Caenorhabditis elegans: one gene and its partner. The protein of the gene in region 2 interacts with the protein of the main gene of each other region in a pairwise test. Each region holds a gene or a part of one and is shown on either strand. Other genes may lie near its edges.

Region 1 (5,332 bases), 2.2 Mb from region 2:
TACCTTCGGACTGTCTGTTCCATTAATAGCGGCTCCCACTTTGATCATCATTTTGAGTTTGGATGTACTGCAATTAATGTGTGATTTAACGAATTATATTGAATTTTAATTATTGGAAAAAGCTGAGAAATTTGAAGTAACCGAGAAATAGCTGTGAAGAAGTTTAAAAAACTTTTTTAGGACTATGAGCCGGATCTTGTCAAGTTTTGTTATCCTAACCAAACATTATTGTGACAAATGCTTCAAGTGGAAATTATTTTTCAAATTTCGTGATAAAATCATTAAAATTAACGACAAAAGGCATCATTTCAGTTCAGCCGGAAGAAAAGAAAAAACAAGGGATATTGAGTCCAGATTAAAGGCGCAGACAATTTTCAGATGGGTCCCGCGACGAACACATAGACAAAAACGCGGATGTTCAAATTAGCGAGTGAACAGTTCAACAAAGAAACATGAATGCGTATTGAAAAATACGCGCATCGTTTTCCCGGTTATAAAAATCATATGTTCCACTTTCTTTTCATTCTAAACAAATTGTCAATTTAAAGTGAAGAGATCAGTTAAAACGGGGTCAAATATAAATACGGGTAATACACACAGATGAGGGTAATTCTAAAAAAAACAATCCAATGTTAAATGTGAGAAAGAAGAATGTTACTATGAAATGACTACTAGAATGATGATAAGTGTGAAATAATTTAGAAACTCCATTTGTTATCTTGTGGATCGGCATTCTCATGAGACTCCTTCTCTCCAGCATCATCGTCGGTGAAGAATTGAGTGATGATGCGGTAAGCCTGAGTATAGATCTGCTCCGATTGACTTTCCTGGAGGCGCTCCAAACTGTCAAGTCCACCATTCTCTTCGACTTGGTCGTGAAGAATGTCCACTTTGTGAGGGTAACTGGAATCACATTTTTGAGAGTGCTAATTATCTAATAAAAACATACCCATTCTGAACAGTGAGCATAAGAGTATACAGAGTCTCCAAAGTATTATTCAGCATATCAGTGTTAGTTTGAAGAAGGGCTTGGCACAAAGCAGGCACTACATTGTCTTCAAGCATGGCGACAACTTGACGATTTGTTCCCCCTTGAGCCAAATTAGAAAGAGCCCAAGAAGCCTCGAACTGGCACTTGTGATCTCCCGACTTCAGAACATTGATGAGAACTGGGAGAAGATTTGCGTCGAGGACAGCTTGAATCTGCTTCTGAGTTCCAGCAATAATGTTGGACACCAACCAGCAGCACTCCTTCACAATGCTTGATGATCGCGTCTTTTCCATCAATGGAAGAATTTCATCGAGTGATCCCAAGTCGATAACCGCCTGTGTCAGCGAGTCATTTCCAGTTGCAACATTACCAAGAGTTCGGAGAGCCGGAGCAACAAGGTTTTCAGCTTCTTTGAAGAAAGCGACGACGTGAGGAAGCACACCACTTTCTCGTGCCAATTCGATTTGCTCATCTGGTCCATCAGTCAAATAAGAAACAGCCCAGCATGCGTCTTGACGGACTTGACGGTCCGTGTGCTAAAGTGAAGACGTTAATTGCGATCGAACATTTTGACAATTACCTGAACAAGTTTGACAAGACCTTTCGACAGAACACGAAGAACTTCTAATGGGGCATGTGGATTCTTATGACGGCACATGTTGGAGAATGCCCATGCAATGGTACGAACATGCGAATCTCCCAGTTGATCGACTTTCTCCATCAAATGCATCAACGCCTCCACTCCATGGCATTTAATAACATAATCACGAAGTTGAGATGAGTCTCCAGCAATGTTAGCGACTGCCCACAAAGCTTGCTCCGAGATCTGCGCACTCTGATGAACTGAAAGATGGATCAGTGGAATTGTTACTCCGGCTTCAACAGCTGCAATTGTTTGCTCGGTGGAACCGGAAACGATATTGGTAAGAGCCCAAGCTGCTTCATATTGAACACGCTCGTTCTGAAAATTGGAAATTATTGAATGGAAATAAAGATCGACCTACCTCAACGCTCAATGCCTGAACCAAAGCCTGAAGCAAACCGCAGTGAATGACTTCATCAATAGGTGGATTCTTCGTCTTTGATAGTGATTTTCTCAACGACTCGAAGCATCGAACCATATCATCTTCCGATGGATTGTTGGAGAGAATAGCTCTAATCTCATCATTTGACAAACGGGTTGATGATTGCTGATGAGATATCTTCTCTGGCTCCTCGAGCTCCGATTCCGAATTGCCACCTTCATCGACGTCGACGATGTTACGGCGTTTCATCATCATGTCCGCTCCTTTTTGCTTTCGAATTTCAACACTGCATTCAGTACGACGACGACGGAGCTCCTGAACAGAACAAATAAATAAATCTCGCAATTACTTTAAATAAGTCGGATAGTAACATTTTTGCATGAAATCTGTTATCAATAATTTAACATACTTCATGCTTGGTGAGATTCTTGTACTGTTGAAGGCGGCCTCCCTCATCCTTTCCCTCTTCGGCATTGTGAGACAGGCTGGTTTCGGTGAGAGTCATAGTTAAGCTTCAATCTGGAAGAACTTATGTGAATATTAAACAAAAATAACACTATTAGAAAAAAGTAGGAGTTTCTGATTCGAAAAAGTTCGGAATAAATCACCTCCATACTTTTTAATAATAAATTTCGCAACGAGATAAATGGGAACTAGTTAAACAGAACTAAAATTTCATGAGAATATTACAAATTCAGTTGAAAAGAATGAGTGGTGAAACTATTTAAGAAAGAAAAGGAGGAAACATTGGGCGATGAAAGCAGAAATGAGCGCCGCGGCCCAAAATTGTTATCAAAAAGTGTAACCTTCGCGCCGAAATTCGAAATGTTGAAGCGAATAAGGCGCCAATAAAGAGCGTTGGCGCCAAACTGATTTTTGGCGGTAACTTAAAATCGAATTGTTTGCTTTTAAAAAATCGCATTAATGCGTATTCATGGAATGTTTTTGAGGAAAAGATTTATACTTCCGAAAATATATAGATTTTCTAGCCCTACAAAAATGAAAAATGCAGAAAACACAAACTCCAATATAAATACCACGATATATCTAACCTTAATTGTACAGTAATCTACCGTAGTTCTAAAAACGGTGCAGCATGCATTTCAACATGATTGAATAAAACATACTGTTGAATAAACAATACTTTATTCGAAAAAGTTCAACGAGCAATCACCATTCCGGAAGTTCTAGTTAACATTTTTGACAGTGTCTGATTTTTTCGTTTACTTTTAAAAATGTGAGTTCGAAGATTTCTGCTAACACATATCATTACAATTGGAGAACCAACAGTTAAAAAGTCTAGAGCTAAAAAGCTAAATCCATAAACGGGGCTTGATGCATCAGTGTATGAGAAGAAAAAGCTGTAGTATATCTGAATGTTCTAGATATTTTTTAAAATTCAGAAGTTAATAACCTGAAATAAAACTTTAAAAGTGAACCCAATGGATATGATAACCGTTGCATTAGAGATTGCTTTTTCTATTTCTTTTGATCTTTCTGGAAGTTTTAACAAAGTAATTGCAGTGCATATAAATGTAAATGATAATGCAATAATAATAAAAACAAGTTGAAAACGAGATTGGCTTGCCTGAAACAATAAATATTAAATATAATGTACATATTTAATGTGCTCCCAGCCTCAGTTCTTGTCACGAACAAGTGTGTTGGGTTACTGTACCCGCTTATCTTCTCGTTTTCCCAGAACTTTTCAATATTTCAGAATTAAAAAACGCATAATTCTAGAAATATGATCAACACAAAAAGAGAGAATGACAAATAGAAAGATTGATGATCTATCATTGTTGCGGGTACGGTAGCTGAAAAATTTTACTCGTCTCGGGATCCGAGACTGTTGAACAAAAAGTTCAGTCGAAAGTGTAGTTTTTCGCATGTGAGGTAATATGTCTAATTTGGTATAATCTGGAATCCTTAAAGTCACACTCATTTATTTTGTAAGGGTCTCTCCAGTTCATCTTTTATTTTTCTGTATGTGGTTCATTAAAACAGTTTCTTCAGTTTCTTTTAGTTTTAAAACAAAAAAGAAATGGAAACAGATGAACTTACCCAGCTAACTTTCTTGAAATAGCTAACCCAGAAACCTCCATACGTGGATTGCATGTAAACTCGAGATATAGCAATATTCCAGTCAGCACAAAATGGAATTAAAAAAACTGCACTAATCACATATTTCAAGCTTTTTCTCCATATTGAATCGTGCGTTATTGGAAACAGGACACACGTCATTCGATTTAAAACTAACAAAACTTGTAAAAGGGATTTACAAATTGATACATGATGAGTTAATAACATTATAATCTTAAACCCAACAAGCGGAGATTGAAAGTAATCAGCGAGAACAGGGCATATTGGTGTAAAGTAAATAAAGAAACGAGCAAATAAACCTTCTGTTATAAGAATTGATATGTTCTGAAGAAAGTACGGTGCCCATTTGAAACCTAATGAAACAACAGATTCAAACAGAAAGGTCTTACAGCGAAATAAATTTATAGTAGCACTTGTGACTTTTTCGTTTATACTTTTTCAATTCAAATTAAAATTCTGATACTCACCAGAAAATCAAGTAAACCAATAAAACGGAAAAAAAATTTGCAACGAAGGCAAAAGAGAAATGAAATTTTCATGAAATTTTCTTTCAGTACAACCTTTTTGTATTATACGATGCTCCGCGCTTTGTTTTTTTGTTGCAAATTTTAATTATTAATTTCTTCCGAAAATCTCTGAAACTATGAGTTATTAAAAAAAACACTTACAGCTATACAATCAACCGAAAAAAGAGTAAAAAAAGAGTTCGTGGAATAAACTTCTCTACATCTCCAGAGAATAGTCCCCAATACGGCCGAATTCAAAAATATCCCAGTAATAATGTAAATTATTTGAGCTGTGAATTTTAAAACTTCAATGTTTGTATTATAGGATAAATCACAGTCTACAGGAATTGGATCAATATCAAGATTCTTCATGTCAGGCGAGAAATCTGACATTCTAAAGACCCTAGGATCGACAAAGAAAATGAAATATTGGAAATAGAAATTCAATGAAAAGAAAATCTCAAAGTGCCAATTATGCCTGGAGGGGTGCGAAAATAGAGAAAAATGTTTGATCACGCAAAGGTTGCATGTCTATAAAGTTTGGACACATGATGATATTAAACACGAAACATATAACATTTTGATAATAAATTGTTTGAATATCTTGGGAAAACGAATAACAATTAAATTAAAATTAATGATTTATAAAAATATTATTGTAGCATTGAAAATGTATTAATTGTAGGCAAGTAAAGCTACATTTGGTT
Region 2 (6,528 bases):
AGATTCGGTTTGAGCGCGATGATAATATCCTGAAGGCTCTCGATCTTCTCATCGTTTACCTTCGCATTGTTCATTCCATCGATTTTTATAATCACGGACATTATGCGCAGGAAGATTCGATGCCGAATCGATGTGGCTTGATTCACGTTCGTGGGCAGCCGCCTTCTGGAGTATCAATCACTACTGACGAGGATGGAGCTCTCGTCGTTCCACAGAAATTTGTGAACGATTTTATTTCGGGATTCAATAGCCGCATTGAGAAAGGGTTGATTGAAAAGCAGTATGTAAGCGAGGAAGAATTGGAGAAAATGGGCAAGAAGGATGGAGAAAAGTAAGTGAAAAAATTTGCTTTTTTAAAAATAATTTTTAACAAACCCAAATTTTCAGGGAAGTTGAAGCTTTTATTCAAAAGAATACTGTCGAGTTGGCAAAGGATAAATGGCTCTGTCCGCTTTCTGGAAAGAAATTCAAGGGACCTGAATTCATCCGAAAGCACTTGCAGTCTAAACATGAAGACAAGCTGGAGGAAGCGAGAGCAGAAGCTGACTTTTTCAACAATTATCTTGCCGACGCCCAAAGACCAGTCGACTGTGAGCCCAAACAAGCTCCAAGAGATGATCATCGTGGAGGTGGTGGTGGTGAGCGAGGTGGATATGGAAGAGAACGAGACGATGATCGAGGACCTGGTGGTGGAGGAAGTGAGTTGTTCAACTCTTGAAATTTCATAAATATGATTAATTTTCAGGAAACTCTTTTGGCGGTGGAGGATATGATCGTCGTCCCCAATTCCCTCCTCGACATTCACTTGGTGGACGAGGTGGTGGTGGACGCTACTTCGAGGATGCGCCACGTCGTCAGCCAGTCTCGTATCGCGATTTGGATGCTCCAGATGATATTCCATAATTCCATCCTACGTTGAATCCAATTCAAATATATGCACAACAAATTATGCTATTTATTTCCCCCTTCTCAATTAAATATTAGTTTTAACTAAATGTTTTTGTATGGCCAATAATAATCTCCTTTTTTAAAAAACGCTCCATTTTCAATACGTCCCTAATGAAATATGATTCTGTGTAACTCAACGGAACTTTTTATTAGAAAACAATCATCATAACAAGAAAAGTAAATATAACATTTAAAATTAACAAAAGTACATGTTTTCCCATCTCACTTGTCCTCCAAGTGCATCTTTTTCAGTCGGAGGTAGAACACAGGAGCAATGGGATCATCTTGGTGGGTTACTGTCTGGAAAAATACAGAATGTTGAAAGTTGGATTTCAAGTATTACGGGAGCTGAGAATGTGTATTGCGCAACATATTTGACGCGCAGATTGTCTCGTAGCGAAAACTACAGTAATTCTTTAAATGACTACTGTAGCGCTGTTGTCGATTTACGGGCTAGATTTTTTGAGATTAATTTCTTTTCGAATAGTGACAGGGTTTCTTCACATAATTTTCTATATTTTTTCGATAAATAAAGAATTTTAATTATTTTCGAAAATCAATCCCGTAAATCGACACAAGCGCTACAGTAGTCATTTGAAGAATTACGGTAGTTTTCGCTACACGATATTGTGCTCGCCAAATATGTTGCACCATACGCATTCTCAGAATTGTGTAATATCTACCTCCGTTTCATCGATAACAATTCGCTTTTTAAAAAGCGGGCAATCTCGTACAAATGACTCGAATTCTCCACCTTCACCGCACGGATGAACTCCATATTTATCCTGAAGAACTTTCATAATTGGTGCCATTTCTGACAACGTTTTTCCGAGATGTTGCTCGCCGAGCCCAATGGCGGCCACTTTGATGAGAATCGCGTCGAGACCATTTTCTACCATTTCGGCAAGAAGGCCCTGGAAAAAATTGTTCGTAAACTTTTTTTAAAGGATTTTAAATATATACCTTCTTAAAGGCGCACCGATTTATCCTCGGCGTGTCTCGTATCTTTTTTGCAGTTTTTTTCATTTATTTTGGCAAATCAAAGAGAAAAAATAGACTACCATTAACTTTTTTCGCGCCGAGACCCAGCTGAATACACCCGTGTCCCTTTAAGAAGGCATGTGAAATGACAATAAATAATTACATTTTGTTCTCTCTCCCATAAAAAGCAAAGTGGAACGAGATCAAGCCGCCGGCAAATGTCTTCAACTCGAACTTTCTGATAACTCGAAAGAATTGCTCCAGCCGATACTCCTTTTACTTCTGGATGATGCTTTTTCACTTCGCATAACAATTCGAACAGATCCTCCACTTCATCTCCATCTGTTTTCTCGTAATCCGACTTTTGATTTTTCGGCTCACCGGTGATTTCTCGTCGATAGAGAGGAAGTTGCATGGCTTCACCGTACAGCTGAAAATCCATTTTTATTAAAATTTATTAAATTATTCAGACGCGGAATTTTGTGATTTATTGAATAAATACAGGGATCGACGCGACAAACTTTTGTTCATTGCAAAAAGGTGTCCGCTTTTAAAGATTACTCTAATTTCAAATTTGAAAATTCATGCATTGTGACGTTTGAGTTTCAAAAAAATGAATAAACTTTCACGGAAAACTATGAAAAATCGATAGAAGTTACAGAATTCTTTAAAGGCGCGCACCTTTTTGTAATTGAGAAAAAATATGTCGCGTCGAGACCATATTTTCAGCACAAAAATCCTCTGCGTCCGGGTAAAGGGTGTCGTTTCTTCATCCTTTTCTATCTCGGTTCGTGGCAGGACCCAACCTCAACTCCATCTGCTCCAACACTTTGATACATGTATGAATCAAGTTCATCTGATTTTGCATCTTTCGGTGGGTGCAGATTTGCAAGTGCCACGATTTGATGGCCCTCTCGCACGGCACACATCAGGTTGTAGCAGCTGTCTTTACCACCAGAAATTAGTCCGACTACTTGCATTTCGCTGAAAATTCTCGAGACTAGAGGGGAGAATTTCGATTTTTGGTGTATTGATCGAATAAACGTTTTTTTTAAAGCAATTTCCACAACGATTCTTCGAAGCACTCTTTATTTAAAACGATGGAAAGCGAAAAAGTAGCAATGGGAGATAATGAAACATAGTGGCAGAAAAAGGGGGAATAATAAAATAGATGGTCACACAACGAAAATTATCGATTAGGGGAGAGGAGATTGGTGGGAAGTGAGCAGGGTCAATTTTAGATTGGAAGGTGGAAATGCTCACAAATAATATCACATTCACAATGAAAGGGTGGGTGCGAGCACAAAAAAAGGCCAAAAAGAAGCTGTAATGTGTAAAGGAAGCTACGAAAATCTAATCTCTTTTTAATTTCATAATAAAAACCTCGTACAGTCAATGCCTATTGAGAGGTAAAAGAAAAGGTCAAAGGCGATGGGAGTGGAGGGAAGCGGAAAAATGAGGGAGAAAACCATCAGAAAAACCGCATTTAACTTTGAAACATACCAGTGATCAAGAAACTGTGGAGGGGAGGGGGAGAATGACGATTAAAAGTTCAAATTATACGAAAAAAAGAAAGTAGAAAAGACTTCAAAAAGCAAGTAGTTTCAACTTCATTTAGTTTTAGAAATTTTTGTTGAAATGTTGAGAAAAAAGCAAATTGGGATTATGAACGGATGTTTTGCTGTTTTATCGGCCGACCATGATTGATTTAGGAGAGGTACGAATAGGAATAGTCATCCCCAGTGCTCACACATTTGGAGTTCAGCTGCTCGGCAGCAAATTGGACGTATTGCTGGTGTTGCTCTGAAAACGTTAATTATAAAATAAATATTATTCATGGAAAATCTTACCATCAAGCTTCTTAGTCAGAACCATTTCGAACTCATTTCTCAGACGGATTTCTTGTTGTTTGAGCAGACGTTCGCATATCATTTGAACATTTGCCATTGTAAATTCCCTCTTGGCGCTGGAACGATCAGTCACAGATGTTGATGGTGCTTCACCCTCGGAATCCGATCCAGACTGAAAATTCGATTTTAACAAAACCATAGTTAATTTCAAAACACTGAAGATATTTCAAAACACTGAAGATAAATTTGTTGTATACTATTTTAATTTAATTGTAGTCAGAAATAAGTATAGCCGGTTCGATGACAAGGAACCAAACTAGTTGCTATCTGCCGTCTCTATAGTGTCCGATTGAGCTCAACGAAATAATGGATTTCGCAAAGGAATAACAGACACAACTAAAAGAATAGCTCAGCTATAATCCTACCTTGGGAGAAGAAGGAGCTCTGTAAGCTTTTGAGTAGTTTGAGCTGCATCCGTCTCCTCTTTGATCTCCATCATCATCAAAGTCATTGCTGCGTGGAATGGCTTTTCGCTTGCGCAGGTTTTTCACTTCCGAACTGAGATATGTTTTGAGCTGATTTCGAGACAAACGAGTCATAAGTGTAGCTGCTTGGAAGACGCTTTCCTCCTGAAAAATGAATAATTTTCGATATTAGGTAAAATAAATGTGGTCAGAAGAAAGTATAGCCACGATCAAGTAGAACGCAACTAGTTGCAAATCTGCCATTGCTTTTGTGTCAGTATGAGCTCGAAAAGGAACAAATATCACTATCCGAGGAATAAATGACACAAATCTAAACATATTATATCAATTATCTACCTGTTCTTTGAACTTCTGAGCAAATGTGCTGGTTGACGGCAGTGTAGCGGCAATAGTTCCCATTTGAGCACGGAAAGGAGGGCATTGCGTTCTGGCTCGCTTTGCTTCTCCGTTGTATGTCTCATCAGTTAAAAAAGATTCATACTCGTGTTGCAGAGGTCTTTTCAGTGCGAGTCCGCAAGCCATTTTACTTCTGAAAGAAATAATTTGTGGTTACGAGAAGTAACATTTCTTACACAAGAGTTGAAGACATTCGAGATAAAATCGAGAAATACGAGAAAGGCCAATCTTACGAAATAATCGATAGAAAATGAGTTAGTGACAATTTTGGAGAACATTTGAACTGCTCGCGTGAAAAAACACAATATTTTTAAAAGATAAATCTTTTCGATGTGGTAGAAACTAAGAATATTGACGTGAAATCTTGCAAGAAATGAGCAGACTAGTCGTAGTGTAAAGCAGCGGGAGGCCACACATCGACCCAAAAATCGATAAACGTCAGGCGAAAGAAAAAAGCGTCTTGAAACAACACAATGGCATGCTATTTTCCAATATTTTTCAAGAGAACTGGCCTAAATCGAGCGATAATTAAGAAAATCAACGAAAATCCACGCAACAGAACGCCGGATGAGTCGATAGGAAAATGCGAAAATCGATGAATGAACTGAATGAGAGAGAGGGAGAGGGGAGGAGGGGTACGGTAGAGAGAACCTGCAGATCTAACTGCGCCGCCAGTTCAAACACCGCCCACCACGCCTCTTCATTTTCCATCCTTTTCCGAACGGAATTTTCGTTGAAATGCGACAATTTGCAGGGTTTTTCGGTAATTATTGCAACTAAAATTGATGAAAATGAAAAAAGTCAATTTTTAAATATATTACTCCGAATTTTTGATTTAAAAAATACAACATTTTTTCAAAAATTCAAAATTCCTTTTAAAATAGCAGTGATTTTTTATATTTGAAGCCGTGATTTTGAGATAAAAAGAAGATAAACTAATTTTTTCGTCAGAAAACGAAACTGATCATTTTCGAAATGACGAAGAGACGGAGAGAGATATTTCTCTATCCGTTTTAATTTTTGTTACAATAAGAATTTGATTTTTGCAATGGAAATCTTGGCTTATCAAAAAAAAACTTAAAGGAGAAGTAACGGTTCTAGGTATTTTGAAGGTACAACCTCAAAATGGGCTCAAATCAAACTTCTCGAATATAAAAATATCTAAATTTCGAAAAAAAAAAGAAAATTTCAGCTGAAATCTCCAAATTTGGTAATTTTTCCGTGTCGCAGCGGTCGGATGTTGATATTTTGAATTGTCCACGGGTAAAGTGACCAAAACTGAGGATTTTAGCAAAGCTTGGCTGAATTTTTGAAAAGTTTTATCACAAAATTCGTTTATTTGAGCGCATTTTGGGGTTTATTTTTAAATTTTTATTCAAAATACACAGTACCGTTTCTCCTTTTTTTGCTAAATTCTATCGATCATTCATTAATGTTAGGTTTTTTTTGTCTATACAACCCCTAATATATCCAAACAATTCCTCTCCCGACGAGTGATGTAATCGAGATCGCAATCACATCAAGCAATTCTGTGTGTGGTTTTGGTTTCCAATGGAGGCGAAATGAAAATAAAGGTGGTGAGAGAGATGAGAAATCGGAGACTTTAGGCGAAGAAGCATGTGAAAAAGGAAAGAAAGAGAATTAGAGAGCGCCGAACTAAAAACGATGACAATTCCATTTTGTCATGTTGTTTCATTCGTCATTTCCGCGAGAGCAAGACTGCTGCAGTTGCTCTCTATCGGTGTTCATCCCGGAGAGCTCTATTTGTCTCTTATATACCTTTCTCAATTTTCGTCGACTTTTAAAGTGTGTACGTCCTTTTCTTTCAGTGCAGCACATTCGAAAAATGACGTACTGCCACCAATTTC

Evidence for each region. Proteins that work in one complex are often made in the same cells at the same time.
Region 1: the proteins of akir-1 (region 2) and ima-2 interact in a two-hybrid assay, tested with the Caenorhabditis elegans proteins (one study listed by BioGRID).

Annotation. Positions count from the first base shown.
Region 1 is NC_003279.8:6,312,436-6,317,767, reverse strand, and holds ima-2 (Importin subunit alpha-2), read right to left. Parts: upstream 2,536-5,332; 5' UTR 2,522-2,535; coding exon 2,426-2,521; intron 2,332-2,425; coding exon 1,996-2,331; intron 1,953-1,995; coding exon 1,572-1,952; intron 1,528-1,571; coding exon 950-1,527; intron 904-949; coding exon 699-903; 3' UTR 501-698; downstream 1-500. Other genes in the region: hrpk-1 (Heterogeneous nuclear ribonucleoprotein K homolog), read right to left, coding at 4-51; srg-14 (Serpentine receptor class gamma-14), read right to left, coding at 3,176-3,388, 3,431-3,604, 4,081-4,443, 4,788-5,018. UniProt on the Caenorhabditis elegans protein: Nuclear transport receptor that mediates nuclear import of proteins, and which is involved in sister chromatid cohesion. Binds specifically and directly to substrates containing either a simple or bipartite nuclear localization signals (NLS) motif.
Region 2 is NC_003279.8:4,134,160-4,140,687, forward strand, and holds akir-1 (Akirin), read right to left. Parts: upstream 4,794-6,528; 5' UTR 4,787-4,793; coding exon 4,601-4,786; intron 4,572-4,600; exon of another isoform or gene 4,445-4,571; intron 4,409-4,444; coding exon 4,205-4,408; intron 4,175-4,204; exon of another isoform or gene 4,049-4,174; intron 3,952-4,048; coding exon 3,780-3,951; intron 3,733-3,779; coding exon 3,638-3,732; 3' UTR 3,002-3,637; downstream 1-3,001. Other genes in the region: srrt-1 (Serrate RNA effector molecule homolog), read left to right, coding at 1-331, 388-698, 746-903; dph-6 (Diphthine--ammonia ligase), read right to left, coding at 1,171-1,248, 1,632-1,862, 2,093-2,359, 2,736-2,909; gclm-1 (GCS light chain), read left to right, coding at 5,399-5,423, 6,490-6,528. UniProt on the Caenorhabditis elegans protein: Molecular adapter that acts as a bridge between a variety of multiprotein complexes, and which is involved in antifungal innate immunity, development of the muscle and sister chromatid cohesion.